Canis lupus familiaris: one gene and its partners. The protein of the gene in region 3 interacts with the protein of the main gene of each other region in a pairwise test. Links are inferred from orthologs where the notes say so. Each region holds a gene or a part of one and is shown on either strand. Other genes may lie near its edges. The genes, in order: FATE1, KASH5, BCL2L2 and BMF.

Region 1 (7,304 bases), on a different chromosome or scaffold from region 3:
TTATGTCAGTACATGTATGTATGTGCAAATGCCTATGTGTGTGTATACAGAGATTTATTTTGAGGAATTGGCTCCTGCCATTATGGGGCTTGCAAGGGCAAAATCTGCAGGGCAGGCCTGCACATTGGAATCTGAGGCAGGGAGAGATGCTGCAGTCTTTAAAAAAAATTGTTTTTTTTTTTTTAAAGTTTGAGCATAGTCCACATACAATGTTACATTAGTTTCAGGTGTACAATATAGTGATTCAACAAGTTTGTACATTATGCTATGCTCAGTACAATTGTAGCTGACACCCGTCACCATACAATGTTATTTTAATATCACTGACTCCGTGTTCCTGGTGTTCCTGCCGTGCTTTTTACTCCCATGATTTATTCCTTCCATATCTCCCACTCCCCTGGACCTATTTTGCCCATCCCCTACCCCCCTCGTCTCTGGAAATCAGCAGTTTGTTCTTTGTATTTATAGGTCTGAATGTGCTTTTTGTTTGTTGTTTTCGACTCCACATATGAGTGGAATCATATGGTATTTGTCTTTCTCTGTCTGACTTATTTCACTTAGCATAATACCCACTAGGTCCATCTACATTGTCACAAACAGCGTGATTTCATCTTTTTTAATGTTTGCACAATATTCCACTGTATGTGTATATGTCATGTCTTCCTCATTCGATATCCAATATTCTTATTGATGGACACTTAGGTCACTCTGTATCTGGGCTGTTGTAAATAATGCTGCCATAAAAATAGGGGTGCATATGTCTTTTCACATTAGTGTTTTCATTTTCTTTTTTTATTGTTGTTTTGTTTCATTTTCTTTTTTTAAGATTTTTTTAAATGTATTTATTTACTCACGAGAGGCAGAGAGAGAGAGAGAGAGAGAGAGAGAGAGAGGCAGAGACACAGGCAGAGGGAGAAGCAGGCTCCATGCAGGGAGCCCGACATGGGACTCGATCCGGTCTCCAGGATCACACCCTGGGCTGAAGGTGGCGCTAAACCGTTGAGCCACCGGGGCTGCCCTTTGTTTCATTTTCTTTAGGTAAATACCCAGTAGTGGGATTATTGTTTCATACAGTATTTCTATTTTTAATTTTTTGAGGAAACTCAATTCTATTTTCCATAGTGGCTGCACCAATTTGCATTCCCACCAACCGTGCGTGAGGGTTCCTTTTTTTTTCCATGTCCTCACCAACACTTGTTTCTTGTATTGTTGATTTTAGCCATTCTCACAGGGGTGAGGTGATACCTCATGGTGGTTTTGATTTGCATTTCCCTGATGATGAGTGATGCTGAGCATCTTTTCACATGTCTGTTGGCCATCTGTATGTCTTCTTTGGAAATAAGTCTATTCAGGTCCTCTGCCCCTTCTTAAATTGGATTTTTTTGTTTTTCTAGTGCTGACAGTTGTATCAGTTCTTTATATATTTTGCATTTTAACCCCTTCTCAGATACATCATTTGCCCATATCTTTTCCCATTCACTAGGTTGCCTTTCTGTTTTGTTGACAGGTTCCTTTACTGTGCCAAAGCTTTGTATTCTGATTTAGTCCCAGGAGTTTTTGTTTGCTTTTGTTTCCCGATGTTGCATTCTTGAGCAAAATTTCTTCTTCGCTGGAAAACCTCAGTCTTTGCTCTTCAGGCCTTTCAACTCATTAAATGAGGCCTATCCACATTATCAAGGATTAGTAATGTCTTTTACTTAAAGTCCACAGAGTGCAAATGTCAACCAAAGCTCCAAAATAACTTCATAGCAACACCTAGACTAGTGTTTGATGGAATAACTGGGAACTATAGGCTACCCAACGAACAGATAAACTTGACCCTCACAGTGGTCTAATCATTAGGGAAGCTGAGAGAGAATTTGGACTTAGACCAGGGACTGCAGGGCCTGCCTGGGGACAGTGGGCCCTCCAGTGGCTACAGGTAGATCCCTTCTTTCCTGCCCTTCCCTCCTTAGATTCTCATGGTTCCTGCTCAGACTGACCCAAGGCATTAAAAGGCCATCTCCCCTGGGAACTCTACATTGGGGGGAAACAAGATGTGCTCTGTAGAGGATGCCTCCTGAGGGGAGCTGTGGCCTGAAATACTTGCCAGAGCTGGGCTTGCAGAAGCCACAACAAGTTTGGGATCTAACCCTGTTCTGGCTACTGACTGGCTTTGGGGTCCTGTGCCAGTATCTACCTCTCTTTAGAAATGATGGAGAGTAGATCCCACTGGCCCCTCAATGGGGCCAAATCATGTGACCCGAGAGCCAGGGTAGTTCTCACAGGCAAAGTTTCTGAGATAAGTATCAGAAACTCCTCCTCCTAAGTTGCTTACAGAGTAGCAGGGGAGAAGACTGTGAACCAAGCCAATAAGATACAACAGGAACACAAGGTGCTGGGTCCAAGGCCTGAGTCCTGTGGGAGAGTGTGGCTCCACCCCCATGGCCAGATATATCTTCCTCGAGCTCCTGCCCCTGGAAGAGCAGACTTTCCAAGAGTCTGCTCTGTGCCCGGCTTCCTGTGTATCCTGGCTATAGCTTAATAGCTAAGCGCTAGCTGTGATGGCAGGAGGCCCCCCTACTATCAAGGAGGAGATGGAAACATCCATCGCTGAAGAGCTGGTTCCTGGAAACTATGGGAAAAGCCAGGAGCACCTGGTGATAGCAGGTGAGGAGCCCCTGTAATGTCCCTTTCCTTTGGGTGTCTGCACCCAGTCACATGTGTTGGAGAAGGTGTGTTCATGGCTGGGAAGAGTCATATATATGCAAGTATGTGTGGCTATGTGTGTGTCTGTGCCTTGGTGTGCGTATACCTGTATTTGTGCCTTGATGAACAGGAAGCTGGGGGGGAAAGGTATTGATGATGTGAGCATTTTGAAGCCTGTGAGAGAGTAGGATGGGATCCACATGTGTGGTCCTTATCTCCCCCTGTCCAAGCTACCACTGTGTTTATGGCAAAGTATCCAGAGCGCTCAATTTATAAGATCATTCAGACCAATTCTCTCTCCTTTTTAATGCCTTTTCCTCCTTTAGAGTAAAATCCAAACTCCTTTCCTTGATCTACAAGAGCCAGCCAATGCCACCTCCTCAATATATTTCATGCTGTGGTATGATGACCCACAGCACACTGCATTTATACTTGTCCTCATAAGACCCGAAGGCTGATTCTTCCTGATAGCCTTTGTGTTGACTGCTACCTCTGCCTGGGATGCTGTTTTCCTAGATTTTCCATGGCTGCCATCATTTTTGTCTTTCAGGTCTCTGCCTCACAGGTGTTTCTGGCTTTTCTAGAAGTAGCCCTTCCTTCCACCATGTTGCCCTGTTCTTATCATTTTGGGAGCATGTATCTCTTGATCTGAGTTAACACTGATAGATTATACCCATTTTGCACCCCTCACTTCAGCTAAGCACACATAGACAGTTGATTACTAGATTGCTGAGATCTTGTGTCTTGGTCATTGCTCTCCCTCCAGTAACCTAGCCCAGAGTTTGGCCCTCAAGAAATACTTACTAAACTTTTAAACAAATGAACAGACTGAGGCTTGGGATCTGCCAGGGGACAACAGTGAATGAATATTGAATGACTCCTAAGAAGTTTGGGTACCTTATCCTCTTTCTGGTGTGTCCTGTGTCCAGGAAGCCTTGGTATAGCCTCTATGGGTGTTTCTGGGGCCTCTCTTCTTTTGCCTAGAAATGATGGAGCATGGATCCCAGTCTGTGGGTGCTTCTCAGCGGCGACAGAAGGCGGATCCAAAGGCTGCTGGCTCTGCTGCAGGTCAATCGGGTTGGAATATGACTGGCAACCGGAGCAAGAAAGCGGTACTGTATGGAGTCCTTGGCATGCAGTGGCTAGGCTGGGGTTGGGACAACAGACTAAAGGGGCTCCAGCTTCATGACGGTAGGTTGAGCAGAGCCAGATGTTGACTTGGGGCCAAAGGAAAAAGCTTTTGTGTACCAGTGAGGCAATGAAGGCAGGGATGTCCTTTGAGAGGTCAGGGCCATCCTTTGGTAGGCTGGGAGCTCAACCTTGGGTTTCCAGAACACCGGATTCACATATTCCTTGGGGACTACATATACACTTTATTTTGCAAAACTCTATTGTGTGTGAAATGACACTTTCCTTTATAAATAAATAATTCTATATGTATATTTCCTTCCATATCTATATTATCTATATTATCTATATAAATTATAACTATATAAATTATTTAATTATCAACTAAATAATCAGCCTGGAATCATGAGAATCATTGATGAATAAAAGGAAGGAAGGATAGGAAAGAAAGAATCTGTCTGTAGCCATTGGAGGCCCCACTGTCCCCATACAGGTCCTACAGTCTCTGGTCTAAGTCCAAATTCTCCCTCAGCTTCCCTAATGATTAGATCACTATGAGGGTCAAGTTTACCTGTTTGTTGGGTAGCCTGTAGTTCCCAGTTATTCCATCAAACACTAGTCTAGGTGTTGCCATGAAGGCATTTTGGAATTTATTTTATTTTATTTTTATTTTTATTTTTTTAAAGATTTATTTATTTATTTATGATAGAGAGAGAAAGAGAGAGGCAGAGACACAGGAGGAGGGAGAAGCAGCTCCATGCACCGGGAGCCCGACGCCGGACTTGATCCCGGAACTCCAGGATCGCGCCCTGGGCCAAAGGCAGGCACTAAACCGCTGAGCCACCCAGGGATCCCCATCATTTTGGAATTTTAGTTAGCATCTACACTCTGTGGACTTTAAGTAAAAGACATTAGTAATCCTTGATACTGTAGATGGACCTCATCTACGCTATTAAATAGAAATATACATACATAAAACAATATGATTCTCAAGTCTGGAAAAAGATTAAGACAAGTTAGGTTCCTATGTTCCCTGGCTGTTAGGAAATCCAATCAATTGAATCTGACCATTATGTAGCCAATCCTTTAAAGTACCTTTAATGTGGGTTAAGAAAAGCTCTGGAAAACTGGCAGGTACACTGTTACAAAGGATACTGGGAAAAGGTGGTCATTTTGGAGAGGAGGGAGACCTGAGTGTTCTAGGGAATCCCGTGAGATCTCTCACTGTGTAGCCAATCCTTTAGGTTACATTCACTGCTAAGTGAGAAGAAGCTTTGGAAACATGGTTGCTATACTGTTGCAAAAGTTGCTGGAAAAAGAGAACCCAGTTGGAGAGGAGAGGGACCTGACTGTTGAAGGGAGTCATCTGAGTTTCAAGTTCTGTATCCAATCTGTTCCACACTTTCACTGTGAGGGAGGGAAAGCTTTAGAAAAATGGTTGTTATACTGTTGCAAATGTTACTGGGAAAAGGCAACTCGGTTGCAGAGGAAGGGAAACCCAGTGTTCTTGGAAATCATCTGAGTCTCATTGTTCTGTAGCTAATCCTTTAAGCTACATTCACTCTGGGTGAGGGAATGTTCTAGAAAAAAAATGGCAGCCATATTGTTGCAAAGATTACTGGGAAAAGGTAGCCATGTTGGAGGAAGGATGACTCGACTATTCTAGGGAATCAGTTGAGTCAGGTAGTTCTGTAGCAGATTCTGTTAGCCAGAGTCACCATGGTTGTTACACTGTTGCAGAAGCTAGTGGGGAAAGTCAATAAGATTGGAGATTCCGGAGGCCTGGCTGTTCTAGGGAATGAGATATGATAAATGCCTAAGTGATTCCACTGCCAATGAATAAAGAGAAAAAGAGCTCCCAGAGACCTCTTGGGAATGGAAATAAGCTAGAAATACTGAATTGGTTTAGTCTCCAATGGCAGAAGTCAAATCAGGTTGCTCCAGCAGGTCAGGCTCCAGCAAGCCACCCATGCCCATGAGATTGAGGCAGAATGGGATGAGGGGGGGCAGTGGGGAGATATAATATCTGGATTAATTACAGTTACCTTTTAGGACCACAGGAATACTTTAAAAAGAAACAGCTGATATACTGATATGTATTATATACTAAATATATTGAATTTAGAAATTAGACATTTAGAAATAAGAAATTTACCAATTCTATTTATCATTGACTTTTGAGCACCTCCCCCCAAATGGAACTACCACCACCTTTGACAGAATCACAGCATGAAAGGCCAAAATTTCATGATAGTGTTTTGCTGATTTGGGTGTTGAGGAAGTAGTGTGCCTTGAAGAGTAAATGAAAATAAAAATAACACTATTTGAAGTAGTAGGCAGAAGCTAGGAGTTAATGAAGTTCATAGATTTTCTTAATCTCCATCAAAGTGCTAGCTATAAAATTCTTATATATTATTATGCATATAATTCTAAATTCACAACCATTCCTGGCTTTATTTATTTTATTTTATTTTTAAAAGATTTTATTTTTCTATTCATGAGAGACAGAGAGAGAGAGAGGCAGAGATACAGGCAGAAGCTGGCTCCATGCAGAGAGCCTGACGTGGGACTCAATCCCGGGTCTCCAGGATCACACCCTGGGCTGATGGCAGTGGTGCTAAACCTTTGAGCCACCCTGGCTGCCCCCATTCCTGGCTTTAAATGACTGCTCTGCGACTTACCTGTTGTGTGACTTGGACAAGTAACATGACCTCTCTGTGTCTCAGTTTTCCAATCTTTCAAAATGAGATGATAGTGATACCTATTTTGAGGGGTTGTGATGAGGATTTAATGGTTTGATGTTGGTTAGGGCTTAGAGAATGACATGTGGCATGTGTGAAACCAAATAGCTTGTGACATTTTTCTTCTTGCATTGGAAGCCCAGAGCTGAGATTTGAACCCAGGTGGGTCTGGCACATTCTGTTCCTCTAGCCCACACTAGTTCCTCAAGGCATGACATACCCTAGCCCCAGAGCTGTGGGCCAGACACATCCACTCCAGATACGGATAAAAATGACAGCTGCTGAGATGGCTGTGCTCACTCAGGGACTCAGAGATGTGCTCACTCAGAGACTCAGAGACTCAGAGTCTCCCAGTGGCCAGAGTTCTATCCTGAGCTCCAACACTTACTGTGTGTCCTTGAAAAGTCCAGTCGTTTGCCAAGCCTCAATTTACTCAGCTCTAAAACTGAGTTTTTCTATTCTCCTCTCTGACTCAGCTGATGTCTGCATGTGACAGCATTGGCAGAGAACAGGGATCCTTCCTTCCCCATCGTTTGGATGGCTAGAAGCTACTGAGGACCATGGTGTGGGTGGAGTGGTGACAGTTGGCCAACTTGTGGGATTCCCAGGCTCTTCTAGTGGTCTGAAGCTGCCAGTCCCTGATTCCAGAGGATCAGTTACCACATGACTCCTGATAGGGTACACCATTGGTCTTGGGTAGTGTGAGGCAGCTGCTCAGCTGAGACTGAGTAGGCTACTTTTACTGAC
Region 2 (6,697 bases), on a different chromosome or scaffold from region 3:
ACCTGCAGGTGCTTTAAGATGAAAGCCCCAAATATTCCCTCCAGGGGCCACCTCATCCCCCATGTCTCTCTGAAAGGGCACCCCCTGTGTTGGTCTCAGGCTTTCCCACCCACATCTTCGTCCCATGGATGCTGATGATGGCAGTAAAAGCAATAATAAGGAATCACAGGACCACCGGACCCTACTGAATCACAGCCCCTACCTTCACCACTGCCACCTACCTACTGTGTGCCTGCTCTGTGGGGGGGGGGGCATGGGGGCTTTCACATGGCCCTTAGCCCTCCCCGCCCCCACTCTGATACTAGGGAGAAATCATGGTCAAGTCAGCTTGGAGGAAACTGAGGTGGGGCCCAGTATCCGTAGAGGGGAGTGGGAGGTGGGCTTTGCGGTCAGGCTGCTCAGAGAGACCATCTTGGATGCTTTGGACTCCAAGCGGCCTGGATGCCCGGCAAATACCTGGGATCCCACATTCCCATCCTGAGGACTTATGGGCTCCCTGTCTCTCCTCTCTGAGCTTCACTCCCTTTCCCAGCCTGAGAATGAGACTGGTACCTGCACCTCACCCTGCTGCTTGGAGGCGCAAAGCTGCTGGTGTGTGTGGTGCCAGGAGGGAGAGCCATGACAGGTGTGTGCCCCAGGGAGTTCTGGGGTTGGCTGGGGAGGGCCCAGCCCCTTCCTGTGTGTGGGTGCATGTGCGTGTGCATTTTCGCATTCCGGGGGTGTAGCCACGTCTGTGAGGCCTGTGGCTTAGCGGCTGCCGCCCCATGTATGCGCTTGGGGGGTCCCCTGGGAACATTCTGGCCGCCCACTGGCCTGCAGGCCTTCCCCCACGACGCTGTCCGCTCTCATTAGCTATAGCAAGGGCCTTGTTATCTCTTGGCCAAATGATTTTTCTGTCTGCTCAAGAGAAGTGGGAGTGTGGGTGAGGGCTGGGAGGAGCTGTCACTGCATCACCCTCCTCAAGGGCCTGGAGTGGGTGGGGACTGCTTACCATGGTCTGGGGCTCTACTTCCTCCTCATTCTCGCTTCTGGGCAACCTGAGGGGACAACAGAGTCATACTGCTTGGCTTGGCTCCCCTTCGCCCACCGTGGAGCTGTATGAACCTTTAAAGCAGGGGTTCTTAAATGGATGGGTCTGGAGGTGTCCTCCCATGAGGAAACTGCTGTGTGTAGGTCAGTGTGCATATTTCACAGGGGAATTTTCAGCAAAAGAGTGTGTGACCCCCCAAAGGGTAAGAGGGTCTCTTGATCAAACCGGTTTTCTCTTCTGCTGTTTTCCAGCTGATGCCCTAGCTAGGAGCTGAGGCTTCTGCTCAATTACTCTCCCAAACAAGACTCAGAGTTTCTCTGGGACTCTAGGGCAGGGGTGGACTCCACCCCCCACTTTATGCCTGCGGGGCGGGGGTGGGGGTGAGGTTTGTGTCTTTTTCAGTGAGTCTCAGGTTTATTGAGTCTTCTTTTAGGACCAAGATTCCAGAAGCCAACTGTGAACATCTCTCCTCACAAATCATTTCTCTTCGGTGTGCAAGCTGCCAACTTCTGCCCCTCTGAGGGTTGCAGCTGCCTGAGCCCCTGGAATACCTCTCTGGGGACTCAGACCTCAAGCGGCCCAGATCGAGTACCCCCTGAGAGACCCAGAGGTCCATACCATTGGCTACCACCTTTGTAGGGGATCCAGCAAGGGATTCAGGGATCCAGCCCTCCAGCTGCCAGTACCTTGACACCCTCAGAACACAGCTGTGTCTTCACTAGCACCCAGAAAGGTGTCCAGGTTGGTAAGCCCCCAGCCTCTGCTGCCCAGTCAGACACACAGCTGTCTCATCCCTTGGGACTTCAACTTGCGCTCCAGGGGGCTCCTCTCTCGGCCCCTCTCCAGATCACAGCTCTCACCCCTAGCTGCCACCTTTAGGGGGCACAGGATTTGCCTCCCTGGCTTCCAGCTTCCCGGTGTCACACTGCCCTGATCCTGGGAAACTCAAGATTCAGCCCCCACCCTCACTGCTACTCAGCCCCCCTCCCTTCCCTTCCCTGGTGACGTAGGGGGAGGTCATAGCTCTGGAGCCCCCTTCCTGCCCAATCTCAGCTTTCTCAGACAAGTCCAATTAGAGGCCAGTGGCAGGCAGCCTCATTAGTTGTCACAGCCGAGAGCCTGAAGGGGGGACAGCAGCAGGCGGGAGGCATCACAGGAAACCACAGGCCCCAAGGCCAGGCCCCAGGGGAGGGTGGGCCCAGACATCCAGTGGTTTAGGTCCCCTTAGAGGCCTGCACCTGCTTCATCACAATCCCAGGGCTGGGGCTATGTGGCACTAATGCTCACACCACCCCCATCATGAAGTAAGCAAGCTGGGGCTTGCTTTGAACCCAGGGTGTCCAAGTCCAGAGTCCTCCACTGTCTCCTGACTCCCTGGGTTCTCCATGGGTCAGTCTGGGTTTCAGTCATCCATCCCAGGGGTCCCTGGCCTTGGGAGAGGTGTGTTCAGTGACAGTGACAAAGTGATTGAGCTGTCCCATTAGCTAGCCAACTGTCCTCTTGTCTAGGAGTTTCCTATCTGAGTACTGCTCCTACGGGACCCCATTCAAGCATCATCTCCCCGGGAAGCCCCCCTGCTCTGCAGGTGGCCTGAAATGCCAGATGTCCTCCCAGAACCGGCTGGGTCAGAGTCTGTCTCCCTCTAGGCTAGGAGACACTGAGGGCAGGGCTGGGGGTGGCTCATCCAGGTTCACAGGATGAGGGTCACTTCAGTGTGAGGGAATGAATGAATGAAGGAGTAAATGACCTGCCACTCCCCTGGGGCTCTTTCAACCCTTGTAGGCTATTTGAATTTGTCAAAGAATGTAGTGTCATCCCAAGGCAGGGGGACGGCTTTGGAAGGGACAAACTTCTTACCACATTGATTGCTCCTGTCTTCCTCCATGAGGGTGTGCTGGCTCTCCTTGGAAGTTTCTCTGTGGGAAAAGGAAAGGTTAGGTCTCCGGGGCTGTGACACCTGCAAGAATTCACCACCTACTTCTAGAACCTGTTGGACTCCCTCCCTGGGGCTGGTTCTCCCTCGCCCCAGGAGCAGAACCAAGAACGAGGCTTGTGCAGCCACTGGATGTCCCTCAGGGTCCCATCTTACTGGGCTGCAAGATAAGATCGGCGTCTCTGGGGGCACCCTGCGCCTCCAGCCTGCTTGTCCAGAGCCCCATCTCCCCTGTCCACTTCCCTTTGCATATTCCTCTCACTCCATCCCAAGGCCCTGGCCTGGCTCAAGTTTCATCTTCTGGACTCTTGCCCCAGCTTCTCCCTGGCCTCCCTGCCTCTAGCCGGTCCCCCTGGGGATCTTTCTACATTCAAAGCTGACCATACCCCCAGCCGCCTGCCCTGGGCGGCTTGATAAGGAATTCCTGTCACAATCCGGTCTCATCGCTCCCTAGCCATTCACCACTCCATTTCCCAAGCATGTTCTGTGCTTTCACACCCCACATCCTTGTGCCTGTACTTTCTGCTGCCAGCAAGGCCTCTCTTTCCTCACACCACTTAACTTCTCCCTCTTCTCCAAAATAAACTCACAGTTTTCCTGTGACCCCCTCTCCAGTCTCCCACACAACACAGGTCCCCTTTTTGCTGGGCTCCCTCCGGGCCTGCCCCCACCTCTGCACATGCATGGCCCTGCATGGGGATGGCCCCTTTGCATCATGTCCCCACTGGGCCCTGAGTGGCTCCACAAAGTAGCTCCAGGACTGAGAGCTGGTGACCCCCAGAGGCCTAGGTCAGCAGTCCCCTAGATGGCACGTCTGAGAGCTCACAGCAGAATTCACTCTGATTTATACCTCCTCTGAGGAATGTGACTGCCACCCACAGGCTGTGTGGCTGGGGACAGGTGACCTCTCTGAGCCTCAGCTTCCCATAGGTAACAGGATGAGGGATGAGGATGCCTACCTCGCAGAGATATCAGGGGAGGTAAATGACAAATCAGGGGCACCTGGGTGGCTCAATCAGCGAAGCATCCCACTCTTTGTTTTGGCTCAGGTCATGATCTCAGAGTCCTGGGATAAAGCCCCCTGTTGGTTCCGTTCTCAGTGTGGAGTCTGCTTGAGACTCTCTCTCTCCCTCTTGCTCTGCCCCTCCGCACACTCACACTCCCTCCCTTTCTCTCTCTCAAATAAATAAATAACTTAAAAAAAATCAGACAGCACTAGTGTTGAAGGGAAGCACAGAAGCTTCTCTCAACCCAGGGAGAAAGTAGCAAAGGAATGAGTTTCTCCTTTAAGAACAGGAAATAGTATAATTCTGAAGCATTGTTATTTTCAAGACAATGCAGTTACAGAGCTGTTAGCAATATTTTCTTTAAAAAAAAAAGGGAGACAGAGACTTTTGGTGCTGATAGATTAAAATCTCACTTTTCTCTTGTGGACAATGAAGATGAATTGTCTCAGTTGTTTCAAAGGATGTTGAAATATTGCTCAGGTAATTACAGAAGTCCTAAAACAACCACTATGGTTGAGTTCCAGATTTCACAGTGGGCTGGCTAAGCTGTTCTTAAAAGTGCCTCAGATCCAAAAAGTAAAAGCTTACTGTATTTTTACGGCATTTGTCAGAAGGATGCACTTTTTACCTTCCCGCTGCAGAACCATTGTAAATGCAGTGCTTCCTGATACCATTTTCTCAACTACAAAATTACCACCATGCAGTCTGGGTTTGCTTTGTTTGCTCCTGTCTCCTACCCTCATGGGCCAGTCCCTAGAGGGCAAGGATGGTCTCCTGGCTGGCCTGGGCTCTGTGTCCAGAAGATGTGCCCATGGGATGGGCAACGAGCTCCTAGCACATGGAGTCCCAGGCCCCCTTCCCAGCTCCTGGACTCCAGTGGTCTCTGAGCCCTTCCCATGCTCACCTGTGCCCCAGTTGGGGCTTTAGAGGGAAACTCAGCTTCCTCATCCGTCTCAATGGCAACCTCCTCCCACTGCCACACTCCACACAGAGGGCTTGAGAGAGCAGCGGCTGCCACTTCTTGTTTCTGGGAGAGGAGAAGTCCTTTCTAAGGCCAGGGAGGGCCAGGTGAAGGCAAAAGTCGGGTGAGAGATGGGGATGGAGATGGGCTGAGGCATTGAGGCATGGGGTGGGAGGAGACAAGGGGCTGGTGTGAGGCTGGGCTGGGAAGCGGGTAGAGGCAGGGCCTGGGAAGGGTTTGGCAGCAGGACCAAGGATGGGGGTGGGGATGATGTAGGTGAAGGATTGAGATGGTCCTCGTTGGGGGAGGATGGGGTATGGTGAGAATCAGGGCTGGGTTAGAGCCGGGGCTGGCAATGGGTTGGGGTGCTCCCCAGGAGCCAGGCCCACCTGCTGAATGGCCTCAATCTCTACACCCAGCGATGGGGGCAGCAGCCTGGTCCAGCCCACTCTTCTCACTTGGGCCCCTTCTGATAGCCTGGGCACATGGTCAAGAGGGGAAGGCTCTCTTTGTGCCTGCCCACTACCCATCAGTACACCCCCTCTGGGGTGGCTACTTTGCCCACATTGGGGCTGGAGGTCAGGGTTCCCGGCCTTGGGGCTCCCCTCCTACCTCCTCTACCCCTTATGTTCCACTCACTCATCTGGCCCCTCCTGGGTCTGACTCAGCTTCTCTTCCAGGTGTGAGATTTCCAGCCTCAGTTCCTGCAAAGGAGGGAGTGGGGGACCCCTGCCCCTCTGTTCTTCTCCATCTCCCAGCCTTGGGCTCCTCCGACAGTCAGTTCCACTCCCCTGATTTCCCTGGGCTCCTCCAGAAGCGTCTTGCCCAGGGACAAGGGGAAGAGAGCAGTGACAGAAACTCAGGAAGCCAAAGAGAGCTAGAGAGCAGCAGGAACCCAGAGGGTAGCCCACCAGCCAGGAAGATTAAAAACAGGATACATGGCCACAGATTCACGGAGAGGTAAAAGACTCATGAGGAGTAAGAGACTCAGAACCCTCAGAACCCACAGAGGGGAGAGTTATCCCTAAAGACAGATTAGATCAAAGAAAGGCAGGCACACAGAAAGATAAGCAGGGGAGATGCAGTGGTGACAAGACCCTCCCAGAGAATGAAACTGGACCCGAGATGGAGTTACGCAGGGTGGGAGAGAGAGGAAGGAAACAAAGGGCAAGTGAAAAGGTAGAGAGAGAGACACACACAACTCCAGAAAAAGAGAGACAGGGGCAAGAGGAGGCAGAAAATCACAGAGATGGCAGAAGAGTGGGGCCAGGCAGGGGGCCACGGGTGGGCAGGAAGGCAGTCGGGTACCTGGGTGGTTGTTCTGTACTCCTCCAACGTCTTGGCCAGACCCTCAGCGTGGTGAGTGCGCTGGAGAAGCCCAAAGCCCCCTGAGACTGGGCCCAGCCCCGCAAAGATGCTGAGGCAGGGCTAGGGGAGACTGGCAGGGTGAGTCTGAGGGAAGAGCTTGGGCCAGGGGGAAGAGCGCCAGGTTTCTAAATCCTGCAGGGACATACTTGCCACCCTGGGTGCAGGGAACCCTCTGACCCCTCCAGGCTGCTTATCCAGGGGATGAGACCCAGGCAGGACTTCCCTTTCCAGACCTTGGGGCAGGGGCAGGGGATAGCCGGGAGCACATGGGAGGTAAATGTCCTTCACCACCCCCTGGGGCCTCTCACCTCGGAGAGGACAGCATCTCGTTGGCAAATGAGGCGTTCACACTCACAGAGCTGCCACTGCCAAGGAAGGAGCCTGTCCATCTGTCCAGC
Region 3 (7,272 bases):
GTCATCATCTTCGGGATACTGGGATGCAGCCCAGGTCAAGCTCCCTGTTTGGTAGGGAGTCTGCTTCTCCCTCTGTCCCTCCCCTACTCATGCTCTCTCTCCTTCTATTTCTCTCTCAAATAAATAAATAAGTAAATAAATAAATAAATGAATAAATAAAATCTTTAGATATGTATATCTATATCATTGAAAGAATAGATAAGGTTCAAAGTGGGCCTGTGGTCTGAGATGTCCTGATAAAAACATTTATGCTTTGTCTATAGTTTCACTGTTATTCCTTGGCTCTGTGGTGTTGGTCTGAGAAGATCCTTGAGGTATGCAGCTTTGGACCAGGTATAATTTGTGTTGTTCTGGCTGCTCAGACTGACATTTTTTTTAAAAAAAGATATTTATTTATTCATGACAGACACAGAGACAGAGTCAGAGACACAGGCAGAGGGAGAAGCAGGCTTCCCACAAGCCCAAAGTGGGACTCAATCCAGAGACTCCAGGATCACACCCTGAGCTGAAGGCAGACACTCAACCACTGAGCCACCCAGGTGCCCCTAAGACTGATATTGAACCTTTATTCCAAATCAATTTTTGTTTCTTTTTCTTTTTTTCCCTCTTCACAGTTGAGTCTTTGGTTCTTTAACAGCCACTACAGTTATCTTCAAACATCAGAGTGGGCCTGCTCAAATAACTGACCAAGGGTGTTGAATGATTTGTTCAGTCAACATTTACTGAGTGTCTATTAGGCCTGAAGAACATAGCAGTGAATATAATCCCGTTCTTGCTCTCACAGGGTTTATGAATAAATGGGAGGGCAGACAGAAACATTTGGATCCTGAAACCTAAAAGTGTTTTTATTTCAAGTAAGTGTCTTAGAAGAAATCAGGATTGCAAATGAAGGACTGGACTGGATTATTCTCTAAAGAAGGCAGCCTTGCTGGTGGCAGCTGGAGTGATCAGCCCAAGAGCAAAGAAGTGAGGAGGGTGATTGAAAGGATACAGTCATAAAGGTGTGAAATCTGCTGTGCATTCAGAATGGAGGGGATAACTGAGTTTGGACTTGATTCTTTTTTCTTTTTTAATTTTATTTTATTTACTCATGAGAGATACAGAGCGAGAGAGAGGCAGAGACACAGGCAGAGGAGGAAGCAGGCTCCATGCTGGGAGCCCGACGTGGGACTCAATCCCGGGTCTCCAGGATCACGCCCTGGGCTGCGGCGCTAAACCGCTACACCACTGGGGCTGCCCTGAGTTTGGACTTGAAAATGGAGTTGTAACAACATAGATTACCCAAAGCAGAAGAGATGATCTTACAGCAATGCACTTAAAGACAAACTTTAAAGTCAGACAAAATTGAGTAACAGTTTCTAAGTATATGATTTCAGCCAAATTACTTACCGTCTCCAAGCCTCACTCTCTTCATCTATAGAATGAGAATAAAGCATAGGGATTGGTGTGAGGATAACTATCATACATGTAACGAAAGCACATAGCACCTAATAACTCATCAAAATGTATTTGTTGTTACTATTATTGTTACAGAAACCTTTCTTCTCCTGTGACTGTAGGGCCAGGTCGGAATATCAAGGCTTGAAGTAGAGGTAGAAGTAAAGGGAACCAGCAGGAAAGGAAAAGTGGGTTGCCGCTTTCTAGCCTTTGGCTGGAGATCCCTTCAAATGGAGCCGAAGGACGTGCCAGAGCAAGAGCCAGTGGGGCCCAGTCAGAATGCCTGAGAGAACATTCCTGAGGATCACCTGTAGACAGACTGCTTAATATTCTGTGAACTGCCCTGTATAAATATACTGCCTTGTATAAATAATAAGTATACATATATATGTGTGTGTCTATACATATAATTATATATATATTATATATATATATATGTAATCTGAAAGAGTAAACATCAACCTTGTCATTAGCAACTTCCATGAAGGGAGGTGGAATTGGGCAAGAGGTGGAAGGGGGGGGGAGATTAAGGACTCATATTTTTCCCCCTTATACCTTTATGTTGTTTGAACTTGTCATGAGAATTCATGTGTTGAGTAAAAAGAATTAGAATGAAAACCAATCTGATTACAAAACAAAAAGAAGAAAGAAAAAGAAAGAAAGAAAAAGAAAGAAAGAAAGAAAGAGAAAGAAAGAAAGAAAGAAAGAAAGAAAGAAAGAAAGAAAGAAAGAAGAAAGAAAGGAAGGTAAAGAAAAGTTACCTGCAGAAACTACTTGGCGATCCAAGTCTTGATGCCTGGCTAAAGCTTCAGCCCATGAAGAGACTACTAGATTAGAGGTCCTGGAGAGAAGAGGAAGTGAAATGTTCAGTGTCCATGTCGTGTCTGCCAGTCCCGCAAGGCAAGGAAGGCACCTGGTCAGCAGTTCCCATTCTAGTGGGAACTGCTCCCCTAATCCAGGCATCCGCTCCTGGGCAGGAAAAATTCAACAAGTGCATGGAACATCAGAGACCTTCTGGGAAATGGTGAATTTACTCCGAGGTTTCCTGAGGCCTAGCCGGCTTCTCTGGGCAGCCTTCAGTCTCAGGAGCCCAGACTGGCCCTCGGTATCCTCCCAGCCCTACTCCTCTTGGCCTCCAGCGGGCCTCTCTCTTCCGGAGTTGTGGCCCTTCCCAAGCTTGCTTCCCAGCCCCGCCCCTCTCTCTCTGGACGCATCTCTGGGCCCCATCATCACCCGGCGCCGGGCCCTCCCTCCCGCCCCCCCTTTCTCCTCCCTCCTTCCTTCCCTCCCTTCCTCCCTCTCTCCCTCCCTCCCAGCTCCTGCACCAGGAAACGGCCCGGATCCTGGCAGCGGCCTGACCCGTGAGATCCCTAACCTGGCAGGCAGGCGGGGTTGGAGACTTGCTGAGGGTGGGGGTGAAGGAGGAGCTGGGCTGTTGGACTGCACTGGGGGGGAGCCGGGAGTAGAGATGGTGAAGGCAGGAAGCCCTTGGCCCTGGGTTTCCCGGGAGGACAGTCGTTAAACATGGATTCGGCCACACAGCTGGTAGAATGTTGGGGGCAGGGGCCGGTCCAGGAAGCTGCAACCCCAGCCTTCTTAGTCCAGACTCTGATCGCTGGCCTTCCCCACCTAGCTCTGCTCTCCCCCTCCCCTTCCCAGGGCTCCACGCTGGCCAGGAGGATGAAAGGCCCCAGCTGGGGGCTCCTTGCCACCAGGGCTGGGTCCTAAGAGCTGCCATCCAGGCTAGGTGAGTGTCCCCTTTCTTTTCTGTCCCAGGCAGCCCTTTGCTTCTTCCACCTTTCCCTTCAGCCCCTGTCTCCACCCCCATTGTGTGCCTCTGCCAGCATCTTCACATCTTCCCTCTGGGGAAGTACTAGGCCCCTTCCTTTAGCCAAAAAGGTGTGTACTGTGGAAGGGGGGGGTGGTTTGCAGGGGTGTTGCAGAGCTGGTATTCTCCTATTGTGGAAAAAAATCTAAAGTATTTTAAAAATAAAATTTACTTGTTTTGCATTTAATGTGGCATATTATGAATTTAATGGCCAGCCCCTCATGCCCTGACCGCTCACCTTGACTTAACTCTTGTGTTCTTGCCCTTCCCTGCCCAGTGGTCTCTGAGCATTTCCTCCCACCTCTCTCCCTGTCTCACTGGGTTGGCCAAGCCTGAAGTACCCCTTCTGGCTCTCTGACCATATATTCATGCCAGTCTTTCATCCTTGACTCTTACAGCCGCCCGGATGGCGACCCCAGCCTCAGCCCCAGACACACGGGCTCTAGTGGCAGACTTTGTAGGCTATAAGCTGAGGCAGAAGGGTTATGTTTGTGGAGCTGGCCCTGGAGAGGGCCCAGCAGCTGATCCACTGCACCAAGCCATGCGGGCAGCTGGAGATGAGTTTGAGACCCGCTTCCGGCGCACCTTCTCTGATTTGGCAGCCCAGCTGCATGTGACCCCAGGCTCAGCCCAGCAACGCTTCACCCAGGTCTCTGACGAACTCTTCCAAGGGGGCCCCAACTGGGGCCGTCTTGTGGCCTTCTTTGTCTTTGGAGCTGCACTGTGTGCTGAGAGTGTCAACAAAGAGATGGAGCCACTTGTGGGACAAGTGCAAGAGTGGATGGTGGCCTACCTGGAGACACGGCTGGCCGACTGGATCCACAGCAGTGGGGGCTGGGTAAGAAGCTTCTCAATTGCTGCTCTGCACACCCCTCCGAAAAAGCTTGTCTCCAGAGGGAAGATGGGGGCTCTGGCTGGAGGCTAGGGGCGGAGTCGCCCTATTTGGGTGGAATCAGATGCCTTCACTATGGGTATCTCGCTAGACTCTGCACTCCAGGGCTGCCATGCAGTCATCACTGGATGGGTTCATGGTCCAAAGCAGAGGACAGACTACACAGTGCCTGCAGGGAAATGGCATCCAGCTGTCAGGAACTTTTTACACCAGAGTACGGTGACATGGGCGGTGGTGGGGATGGGGTGTCAGGGATGGGGTGGTAGTTAGGAAAGCCTTGGCAAAGGATGTCAGTTCAGAGCACAATTTTTGGCCAAGGAGAGGCTGGGATTCACTTGAGGTAGAGAGGGCAAATGAGCCAGGCGCTCATGGGGGATGATGGGGCCTTGCAGCCAGTAGAGCTTTGGCTGGCGAGGAGCTGGGTATGGGGTAGTGCTTGCAGTGGATGGAACTGGAACTCTTCCTCTCCTCTTTCCTCCACTCTTTCCTCTCCTGATCTCCCTTTCTCCTTCTTTCTCTCCTACTTCCCTTCTCTCCCACAGGCGGAGTTCACAGCTCTATACGGGGACGGGGCCCTGGAGGAGGCGCGGCGTCTGCGGGAGGGGAACTGGGCCTCAGTGAGGACAGTGCTGACGGGGGCCGTGGCACTGGGGGCCCTGGTCACCGTAGGGGCCTTTTTTGCGAGCAAGTGAGCAAGTCCGGGGCCAGGCGGGGCTAGGTGTGGCTAGGGGACAGGAGAGCAAGAACAGAACAGGAGAAATGCCCTTGGAAGAAGTGGGGTGAATGGATGGGCACGGAATGGGGATCGGAAAGGGCAGGGTACTGTGTGAAGGAGCTGTGTTTGCCAGGCAGGCAGTTGGAAGGATGAGCTGGGAGACATTAGGGAATGTATTTGGAAAGTCGGGGGCGGGGGGGCGGGCAGGAGATAAAGTCATTCCAAGGTCAGGAGGAGGTGGGAGAGATCATGTCTATAGGTGTAGGCACACAAAACTATACCTAGAACTTAGCTTGTAGCCATGAGGAAGGTCGACTTGCAGGAGGGGTTGTGTCTCCATTGGATGAGTGAGAGTGTGGGGGGGAAACAGAGGGCACATTCCTTTGAAATGGAAGCTTGAGGTTCTCTGGTGATAGAGAGAGATGGCTGTGATGGTGGGCTGCTTGGACATGTGTGTGCATGTGTACGCATGCTTGTGTGCATGCCGGGCTGCTTGTCTAACCTGTTGGTGGCTGTACTTGAGAAGAGCTCCCTGTTGGAGTGGCAGGAACAAGGGGCAGTTCTCTGCCCCTCCCCCCCACTCCCCCCCTTGTCCTGATGCCTCAAGGCTGTGGGAGAAACACTGTATCCAGTAGAGGGCTTTGGGCACTTTCTGGCAGAAAGTCATCAGCAGGCTTGAGGGAGAAGAGAAGTTCTGTAGCTTGCCCTGTTGCTTTGCCATCCCCATTCCCTGTACATCACTTACTTGCTGCTGCCTCCTGGACTCTGACTGAAAACAGGAGAACAGGCTGCCAAGCCTGCAGGGGGTGGGTGGGGGTGGGGTTGGGGGGTCTGGACCTACCTGCCACCCTCCTTTCCCACTGGGGCACACTGGTGCCTCAGGTGTTCCCTGTCTCTGGGACTGTACCCAAGCTTAACTCTAAATTGGGACTCTAATTTTCCTTTGGAGTGTGTGGAGGTAAATGTTGATCTAGAGTATGGTCTGGGTCCTGCACTGTGTCTCAGTGAGACTGCTGATGCCTTGAGAGGAACATTCCAGCTCTGAACCCCATGGGTGTGAGGGTGACCTGTAGTCCGTGACTGGCCTATTCCATGTAGTGGGCTTTGGTGCTGCTTTATCAAGGGCCAGGTGTATGGGTTCTAGAGTACCTACGACCTAGAAGCATTTCTTTCTTTGAAGCCACACTGTTTGCATGGGTATTACTTGTCTGTACCTCAGAGTCTGAGGACACTAACTTTAGAGCTCACAGTCCTCTAGAATGGACTCAGATTATAGCATTTTCTTTTGAGAGAGAAATTATTTCACTCCAGATGTATGTCCTGAGCCAGACCTCACTGCTGCACTTCCCAAGGTGCTAAAATTGCTGCTCTCCAATGCTGACTTCAGACACAGTGCTCTAGAACCCTGCCCTTGATCCTGAGCACTGATCAGCTTAGCTAGACCATGGTTGACTCTTCTTAGAGATTTTCATTTGGTCCCAGAATGTGGCAACATAGTTGTACTCGCGAGAATGTGGGACCAAAATTGGCCTCAGGTGTTTAGCCCAGACTTCTGCTTTTGAGAGAGGGCTGCACTTTTTAAACGGTATTTATAGGGGAAGTGGTAGACTGCATGCACCACTTGGTCTGTTGTGAGTATGCTGATACCAGAAACTCAGAGCTGGTCTGTGGCAGGCAGTTGGGGTGGGGGTGGGGGGTCTCTGACTTGCTCAGGACAAACTAGACCAGTGGTTTTCAGACTGCTTGGCAGAACCCTGAAGTTTTGGAGGAGTTGCCTCAGGAGTCCTTGGGGAGATGAAGAGGGGGTGCTAAGCAGGCTGGGCTACATGTCCTCAAACAGAATAGCTCCCCTGGTGGCTGTCTTACATATCGGGGTTCAGGGTAGATTTAATTTACATTAAGGGGTTTGCTGCTGAAAAAAAAGTTGGAAAACCACTGACTAGACCATCAGCTCCAAATTGGAGCCCACTCTCCCCCAAGTTTGGGGCAGACTCTTCACCTTCCCTTCTACCACAGGACCCCTGACCCTGCTAGCTTTCCTGGGGGCCTTTAGCAAACCAGAGCAGCAGGGACCATGGTCAGGTAACTGAAATGCCCTGTGCTGAGGCCTTCACACCTGGGTGGAAGTAGACATTGTTTTCTGAAAGGGTAAAGGGCTTGGATTCCCAGAAGCATAGCTTACTTGGGGTCATAGTGGGCAGTTTTGATCTGTCCTGTCCTTTATAGCTTGAGGGGCAATGGAAACCCCAGAGACTCTTCTGTCAGGGAAAACTAGAGACTCTCTTCTAGAGCCATATAGTTCCTTGGAATTAGCTCTTGGCCAGGAAGGCTGAGTATGGCTCCCAACTTTTAAATCTATTTCATTAAAAAAAAAAAAAAAAAAAGGGAAATAAATCTAAA
Region 4 (7,180 bases), on a different chromosome or scaffold from region 3:
GCCTGCCTTCTTCCTCTGTTCCTTCTTCCCTGCCGGCCTTATCCATCTCCTCAAACTCCAAAAAGAACTGCAGGGCAGCTCCCTCTGGGAATAACTGCAGCGTCTTCTCAATATGCTCCATCAGACATAGCAAGTTCGCCTCCAAGCCCTTCCCCTCCCTCCATAAGCTATTGTGCTAAAAGAAGAAAGCAGACTAAGTGTCTAACCCTGTCCCTTTGCCAGAGGAGGGCATGTTACTCATAAAGCAAACCATTTAAGCCCACAAATGAAGGGGTCTTGTCTGATTGAGCCTTGGAAACAGCCCCTCTACTGGCATCGAGCCCCGGCAGGCCCAACCTCTTTCTCTAGTTCCCCTTCCAAGCACAGAAAGTCCCAAGTGACACCTTCTGCCTTCAGGAATCTTCCCCTCCCAGAAAGGGCCGGGTTTTTCCCTTCAGTGTCAACAGCGATTCACACAGATCTCCCAACCTTCACTGGGGCCACATTGGCCAATTTACAAAAGGCATATCACTCCCAGGACACAAAAGGCTGGGCCGCTCAACGGGCCACAGGATGTAAAACTCAAGGCCCAGGTACCACTCTCCTATCCCAAAAGGTACCACAGACCCAAGGATCCCTGCAGAAACGGACAAAAAGGCAGAAATGATGGCAGGCATAGCAATTTGCCCTTCTCAGTGCCTAAGGAGCACAGGTGAAGAGCAATGACAAGCAGAGAAGCAGAATGACAAGAATCGAGGAATCAATAGCCCCTGCTGTTCAATTTGGGGAAGGAAATAACAAAGTGCACGTTTGGGGAGGGGAAGTCCCCTCTTTTCCCCCAGTCTCTATGGGAGGAGTCCTGAGGCTAAGAGCACTCACCATAAAAGAGTCGCTGGGGCTCTTCGGTCACCCCACAAGGCAGCATGACACCCTGACTTGGGGAGGCCGGACTGAGGGTCTGGGTGGCCTTGTCTTCCTGGCTGGTGGGTCGAAGCCCAGGGCCACAGCAGTGGGTGAGAGGGAAGAGATGCAGACGGCTGAGGGGGCAGTCCAGCTGGCTCTGGGCAAACAGGTCAGCAGAGAGCAAGCTCCCAGGCTGGGTCCCCGGCTCCCCATCCTCTGGCTGGAACACATCATCCTCCAGCTCCTCCACACACTGAGGCGGCTCCATCTCCCCTGTTAGAGCACAATGCAGGCCTCTGGGATGCTGCTTCTACCCAGGCCAAAGCTGAGGGATTCCCCTCCCCTTTTTTCTTTCCTGCTTCCCCTTCTTATTTGGGTGAGTAGGGCCAGGTACTGATGACAGACAACTGGTGATAAAGTACTACCAAGGATGACACCCGCCCCAAAGGCTGAGGACAGCCTCACTGCTCCATACCTCTTCCCTGGGCCTTCTGGGAGCCACCCCCCACCTTGGTCTTTTCTCCTGACCCAGGCTGGTTCCGGTCATGAAGTCTGACTGCTATTGACTCTGAGCACTAGCAGGGGTATGATCAACGGCTACAAGCATGCAGGACACCTGGGGAAATGTCAACAAGACCAGACCCTGTGAGTGGCTATGGGAGGGCAGAGGGTGCTGGGACTGGCTGTACACACAGTGCTCGCTCGCTCTCTCTCTCTCTCACACACACACACTCACTCACTCACTGCCCTGAGGAGTAACCACCAAGCTCTCATTTCAGTCTGAACTGAGCTCCAGGCTCAGCAGCAAAAACAAAAGCCAGCAACTCTAGGGCAGCCAGGTTCCCTCCAAACCTGTTAAGCCCCGCCCAGCTGCCGATCTACCCTAGTCTCCACCCCCTGCTTGCTCAACACAACAAACAGGCTCCACGGTGTGGTAAGAGTGGGTCCTGGGAGAGAGGGCAGAAAGACCCAAGTGAGTCATTGGCCTCCCAACAGAGCAGAGCCATCTGCCCACCACAGCTTGGCCTAGAGGGTAGGTCCAACATCCAGCAATGTGGCCAGCCTCCCCCAGCTCAGCCTACTCACTCGTCTCCATGACTTTAATCTTCTTTGCCCACAGTCTACCTACCATTCCTGTCGGCACCGAACCTGAGATTGGTCTAACCCTCCTTACAGAAGGAAGTGAAATTCAGCCCTCTTTTTGTGACCTCACTCACTGTCTCTGTACTACTCAGGTTGTTGATAGGAGTTTCTTGGTAATAAAGAAGTTCCTCTTGCTCCACCTGATGGTTCTTGGAAATCTGAGCTTGGAGCCACCCAGCATCTTGAGCTCCCAACTCAGCCCCCTACATACACACACATACACCAGGAACTTGTTAGGGTCCCTGGGGCAGCCAGAAGCAACAACTACCTGAATGGTTTGGGATTCAGAGGGATACTGTTTGTCACTGCCAGATTCAATTAGAGATCCCCTGGGAATTTTGTCTCCCAGTCTCTTTCTTGCCTTTGAAGAACAAGCCAAATGGTCTGTAGGCTGGTAAGATACTTAAAGGAATCTCACTTAAATTCAGAAACTTGGCTTTCCAAAATGCAAGCTCTCTCCGAGGCGCTTGCTTCAACCTTCCCTCCATCCCAACCAGTCCATGAGCTACTATGACCCTATCTTTGCCCTCTTCCCTGGTGAGTGAGGAGATGCCAGCTTGGATGGCAAAACAGGCACATGGTGTTCTTTAGAAAGTGTTTCCCAAAGGAGGGTAGGAGATCTTCAGCTTATCAGCAACAGGAAACAAAGTTTCTTGCTGAAAGGACCAAGTACTGTCTTGCCAGTCACCTGGCAGGGGCTCTTCTCCAGCCTTTCAGCCTTCTCTCTGCAGACTGGCAATCCCAGGCTAAGAGGGGGCCCTCCAAAGCTAATCACAAGCAGGAGTCATTGTCTTGGGTTTTCCTTTGAAGCCAGTCACCTCCCCCTCCCCCACCCAGCAAGGCCCCAAAGTTCAACCCTTGCCTGGACTGGACTGTCGGGGAAATGCAGCCATAGGGTGTGTCTCTGCAAGCCCTGGGGACCCTACCCATTCTCCACAAGAACTGCAGGTGGCTCCTCTGTACGTGGGAGCCTCCCGAGGGGTGCTGGGCAAAGTCAAGTGTAAACTGGGATATGGTAAAGAGACCCTCTGCTCTCTTCGCCTGAGCTGAGGAGGTGATGTCCAAACTGGTAGGAGGAGCACACTTCTTGAGAGCACTGCCTGGGAAGGTTTTATTCCTAGCAAAGGGGAACCAAAGCCCGCTTTGGAACCATCTCAGCCCCGAAGGGCTGTAAGAGGGATGCTGAACTTAAGACTCCTCCTCCTAGGAGAATAGCCAGGCACTCGGAGGTTCCGTAGGAGTTAAAATCTGGGAACGCACACATACATGCGTACACACCCACACGACACACAGCAGACCTGGGTGACTCCAGGAGAGAGTCTCGGCCTCCGAGTCGTGATGCCAGGGCTCCGCGCCAGGGTCCAGCGTGACGAGCACTCGGGGGCTTGGCGCCCAGAGTCAATTGGGAAGGAGGGAAAGAGCCCAGCTGTTAAGGAGAGGAGCCTTCAGACTCCGCAGGGAGGCTGGACGCCCCCCCACCCCCTGTCCTACCCCCGAGTCAGATCCAGAGGCCGGGCCGTTCTCGGGAGCCCAGGGCTGCTCAGCAGTGAACCGCAGCTTCCCCTGCCCACCTGGACCCAACTCCCTGCTGTCTGAAATGCTACTGCCCCCAAGTTCCCTCGCGGAGCAGCGCACCTAGATAAGGGTCCTGCACCGCGTTCCCGCACCCCGGCGCTCCAGTCCTCCATGGTCCCCCCACACGCCCGCAGCCCAACCCTTCTCGGGCCCCCATGCGCAGCTCGACTCCTCGCCCCACTTCCCGCCGAGGTGCGATCCAACTCCGCCCGGCCCCCGGCCGCCCGCGCGCTCACCGGGCTGCGGCGGGTGGCGGGCGGCGCGGGCAAGGGCGGCGGCGGCAGCTGGCGGGCCGGCGCGGGAGGAGGCCGCCGTGCACCGCGCGGTATTGTTTCCAAAATACGCCCGCTCGGGGCATCCCGCAAACAGCTGATGAGGCCCCGCCTCCGGCGCGTCACGCCCCCGGCGGCCAATGGCGAGCGGAGCCCCGAGTCCCGGGCTGGGCGGCTGCCAGGGACCGTCACGAATGTACCAACCTTCCCTTGGAAACACTGCAAGGGGCCGAGCGAAATTCCGGCTCCCGTCAGAAACGCAATCGGAGAGCCGTAGTCGGCGCAGATTCCGATCCCGAGCGCAAGCCCGGGAAGGACCGGAAAGGCCCTGGTCCTCTCCATTAGAAGGGAGAGAGGGGGCGCCAAAATGACTTTTGTCTTCTCTTTCTCGGGAATGGTCTGAATAATGACGGAGCGTCCAGAAAGGGAGAAGAGGAGGACGCAGCGGGCGGCGTCCGTCGAGGGCAAGGTGCGTGTCCTCGTGGACCCCGGCCTGGTGGCAAAGCGCCCTCCCGCCTGCCTAGCCCGGCGGAAAGAAACTCCAGGCGCGAATCTTCGGGAAGCATGCGGACACCTGCGTCTGGCACTGTTACTACTGAGTGACATTCAGATCTAACACATCCAGAGGGACCCTCAGGTCCTCTTCTTGAGGGGGCGTGGACACCTACAAAATAAGTATGTAGCCGAGGAGAGGGGAGATCGAGAATGCAGGGGCTGCTTGAGCAGTTGACACACATCCTGTTTATGGCAGCATCCAGAGATGGGGTTTGTGCTGCCAAGAAGATTATGTGTCCTGTGGATCTCCTGCTATCCATAAGGAAGTCCCCAGGCCACTTCACAAACATTCATTGAATACCTGCATTGTGCCAAATACTGGATTAGGAGCCAAAACCCTGTGCCTGTCCTCAGGGAGCTTACAGTTTATTCAGGAGAGGAAGATTCGAAAATTATGGAATGTGACATGAAATGTGTTAATTTTTAGGGACAAGGACTGCTGGAAGCTGCAGAAAAATTCAGGACACAAAACACTGGGGAAAGCTTCAGGAAGATGGCTTTTGAGTTGCGCCTTGAAGAATGGGGAGATTTTTCGATAAGGAAAACCAGGTAAAGTACCCTAAGCCCACGGCAGCAGAATAAAATGCTGAACTGGAGAATCTGTCCTGGGAGCAGAGAAGGCTGAAGGAGGGGTCATTGGTTGCATCCCAGGATTTGGGAAAGGGTGGTCATGGACAGATAGATTCAGGTCAGAGTACATAGGTGTCCATGCAATGCTAGGCTGGAGAATCTGTACTGGAGGCAAAAGGGAGCCACCAAAGATTTTTTTATAGAAGATGAGTGACTTGGGGGCACCTGTGTGGCTCAGTGGTTGAGCATCTGCCTTCAGCTCAGGTAATCATCCCAGGATCTTGGGATCCAGTCTCCCATCAGGCTCCTCGCAGGGAGCCTGCTTCTCCCTCTGCCTATGTCTCTGCCTCTCTCTATGTGTCTCTCATCAATACATAAATAAAATCTTAAAAAAAAAAAAAAAAAAGAAGGAAAAGGAACACCTGGGTGGTTCAGTGGTTGAGTGTCTGCCTTTGGCTCAGGTCACGATCCCAGGCTCTTGGGTTCGAGTCCTGCATGGAGTTCCCCGCAGGGAGACTGCTTCTCCCTCTGCCTATATCTCTGCCTCTGTGTGTCTCTCATGAATAAATAAAATCCTTAAAAAAAGAAAAAGAGAAGAAGAAGAAGAAGAAGAAGAAGAAGAAGAAGAAGAAGAAGAAGAAGAAGAAGAGGAAGGGGAGGAGGAAGGAGAGTAACTTAACTAAGGCTGCATTTTAAGAAAGATAAAAGAAGCCAAAATCAGTGAGAGAGAGCCAGTCACTGCAATAGACTGGGTGGTCGATGATGGGCCTGACCCCAGGGATAGTCGGGATGGACAGTCCTCTGACCACCAAGTTGCTCTCTCTGGTTGTAAACTCAGGCAGATTTAAGTTTAGTGGAGCTGGAATGCTTAGCCCAGAGGAGCCTGAAGTCTCCTTGTACCTTTTTCCTACCCATTCTTCCCTGAGCTCCCTCAAAGCATACCTGAAAGAGAGCCAACCAGGCATATTGAGGGCTGTGGTTGCTAGAGCAGGAAAACACTATCTCCAAAGTCCAGAGAAAAGAGAAAAGGGAAAAAAGATGAGGGTCAAAGTTGGCCAGCAGCCCCATCCTCCAGGAGTTGACGGATGTTCAGAAAGAGGTGCTGGAGCCAAAAGGAGGTATGTTACTTTACCAGGAGGCTTGGCTAAGAGGGAGTGTCACCTGGTCAGGGTGACCTAGCATTCATGCCACATGTGGGTAAATTAGGAAACCAAGCCCAGCTTCCATGCAGGGCACTGGGGAGCCCTTGCCACATTCACCACGCACAGACCTCTTTCCCCTCCTTCCTTCTATCCTTCTCTTCTTAATGGCTTTCCACCTGGGCCAATGTCTCAAGCTGGCCAGTAATGACCATGTGTATTACTTAGGATCAGGAATGGAACTGAAGGACTCAGCAGCTCTGAACCTGTCTTCTCAGGCATCATAGGCCCTGAGAGGGAGAGGTCATACTAATTCCCCTTATCTCTTCACCTACTCCACTCCCCAACCCTTGCTCCAAGCTGCTACTGCTCTGTCTGCTTCATCACAGCAGATTTGGGGCCACAAGGCAAGGAAGATGGTAGAGCAGGATTTTTATCTGGGATCCATGTACTTGCCAGACTCACCAGGGTGTCCTTAGCTGTAGGGTCTATGAACCCCTGAAATTGGCTAAATTGTATATGTGGGCTCACACAAACATTTTGAGGGGTGGTTCCATAGCTTACAACAGTTTCCCAAAAGGGCCTATGGCCCTATAAGAAGTTAAAAATAACCAATGTAGGGGAGTAGGGCTGAGAGCAAAAGGGATCACCTAAGTGGATCTGGGTAGTTTGCAAGATGGGAGGAGGGTCACACCATCTAGTGTCATCTCTTCTAAGACCTCTCTCCCAGGCCTTCCCAGCCCCTCTCTCAGACTGGTTCTGAAGGACACCCAGTGGCTTGGCCTCCTGTGCTCTCAGCCCCTAAGGTCAAGCAGCAGGGGCCCAGCCTTCTGAGCTGCAGAGACCAGAAAAGATTGTCAGGGATAAAGGGGTCAGGGAGGTCAGGAGCCTCACTCCCCACCTCTCATCACTGTCAAAGCAGACTCCTCCCTCTATACCGTTCCTTCCCTGCCAGTGCAGGGCAGACTCAGCAGTGTCAGGACCTGCTTGGCTGGAGATCTGAGGCTCTGAACCCCTGACCACAGTAATGCCTTGGTTACCGCC

What was found.
Region 1: the proteins of BCL2L2 (region 3) and FATE1 interact in binary tests that used the Homo sapiens proteins (3 or more experiments, as listed by UniProt). The two-hybrid records come from large-scale screens. The link is inferred for Canis lupus familiaris from reciprocal best matches to the Homo sapiens genes BCL2L2 and FATE1.
Region 2: the proteins of BCL2L2 (region 3) and KASH5 interact in binary tests that used the Homo sapiens proteins (3 or more experiments, as listed by UniProt). The two-hybrid records come from large-scale screens. The link is inferred for Canis lupus familiaris from reciprocal best matches to the Homo sapiens genes BCL2L2 and KASH5.
Region 4: the proteins of BCL2L2 (region 3) and BMF interact in binary tests that used the Homo sapiens proteins (3 or more experiments, as listed by UniProt). The two-hybrid records come from large-scale screens. The link is inferred for Canis lupus familiaris from reciprocal best matches to the Homo sapiens genes BCL2L2 and BMF.

The regions. Positions count from the first base shown.
Region 1 is NC_049260.1:120,979,156-120,986,459, forward strand, and holds the start of FATE1 (fetal and adult testis-expressed transcript protein), read left to right. Parts: upstream 1-2,448; 5' UTR 2,449-2,543; coding exon 2,544-2,649; intron 2,650-3,672; coding exon 3,673-3,800; intron 3,801-7,304. UniProt on the Homo sapiens protein: Involved in the regulation of endoplasmic reticulum (ER)-mitochondria coupling. Negatively regulates the ER-mitochondria distance and Ca(2+) transfer from ER to mitochondria possibly implicating it in the regulation of apoptosis.
Region 2 is NC_049222.1:107,752,175-107,758,871, forward strand, and holds part of KASH5 (protein KASH5), read right to left. Parts: intron 6,665-6,697; coding exon 6,608-6,664; intron 6,300-6,607; coding exon 6,240-6,299; intron 5,636-6,239; coding exon 5,571-5,635; intron 5,409-5,570; coding exon 5,321-5,408; intron 5,019-5,320; coding exon 4,875-5,018; intron 2,947-4,874; coding exon 2,888-2,946; intron 1,038-2,887; coding exon 992-1,037; intron 1-991. UniProt on the Homo sapiens protein: As a component of the LINC (LInker of Nucleoskeleton and Cytoskeleton) complex, involved in the connection between the nuclear lamina and the cytoskeleton.
Region 3 is NC_049229.1:3,689,284-3,696,555, forward strand, and holds BCL2L2 (bcl-2-like protein 2), read left to right. Parts: upstream 1-2,746; 5' UTR 2,747-2,819; intron 2,820-3,096; 5' UTR 3,097-3,184; intron 3,185-3,663; 5' UTR 3,664-3,671; coding exon 3,672-4,103; intron 4,104-4,699; coding exon 4,700-4,849; 3' UTR 4,850-5,208; downstream 5,209-7,272. UniProt on the Homo sapiens protein: Promotes cell survival. Blocks dexamethasone-induced apoptosis. Mediates survival of postmitotic Sertoli cells by suppressing death-promoting activity of BAX.
Region 4 is NC_049251.1:7,603,457-7,610,636, forward strand, and holds the start of BMF (bcl-2-modifying factor), read right to left. Parts: upstream 3,939-7,180; 5' UTR 3,837-3,938; intron 3,788-3,836; exon of another isoform or gene 3,661-3,787; intron 3,452-3,660; 5' UTR 3,324-3,451; intron 1,499-3,323; exon of another isoform or gene 1,358-1,498; intron 1,156-1,357; 5' UTR 1,151-1,155; coding exon 859-1,150; intron 1-858. UniProt on the Homo sapiens protein: May play a role in apoptosis. Isoform 1 seems to be the main initiator.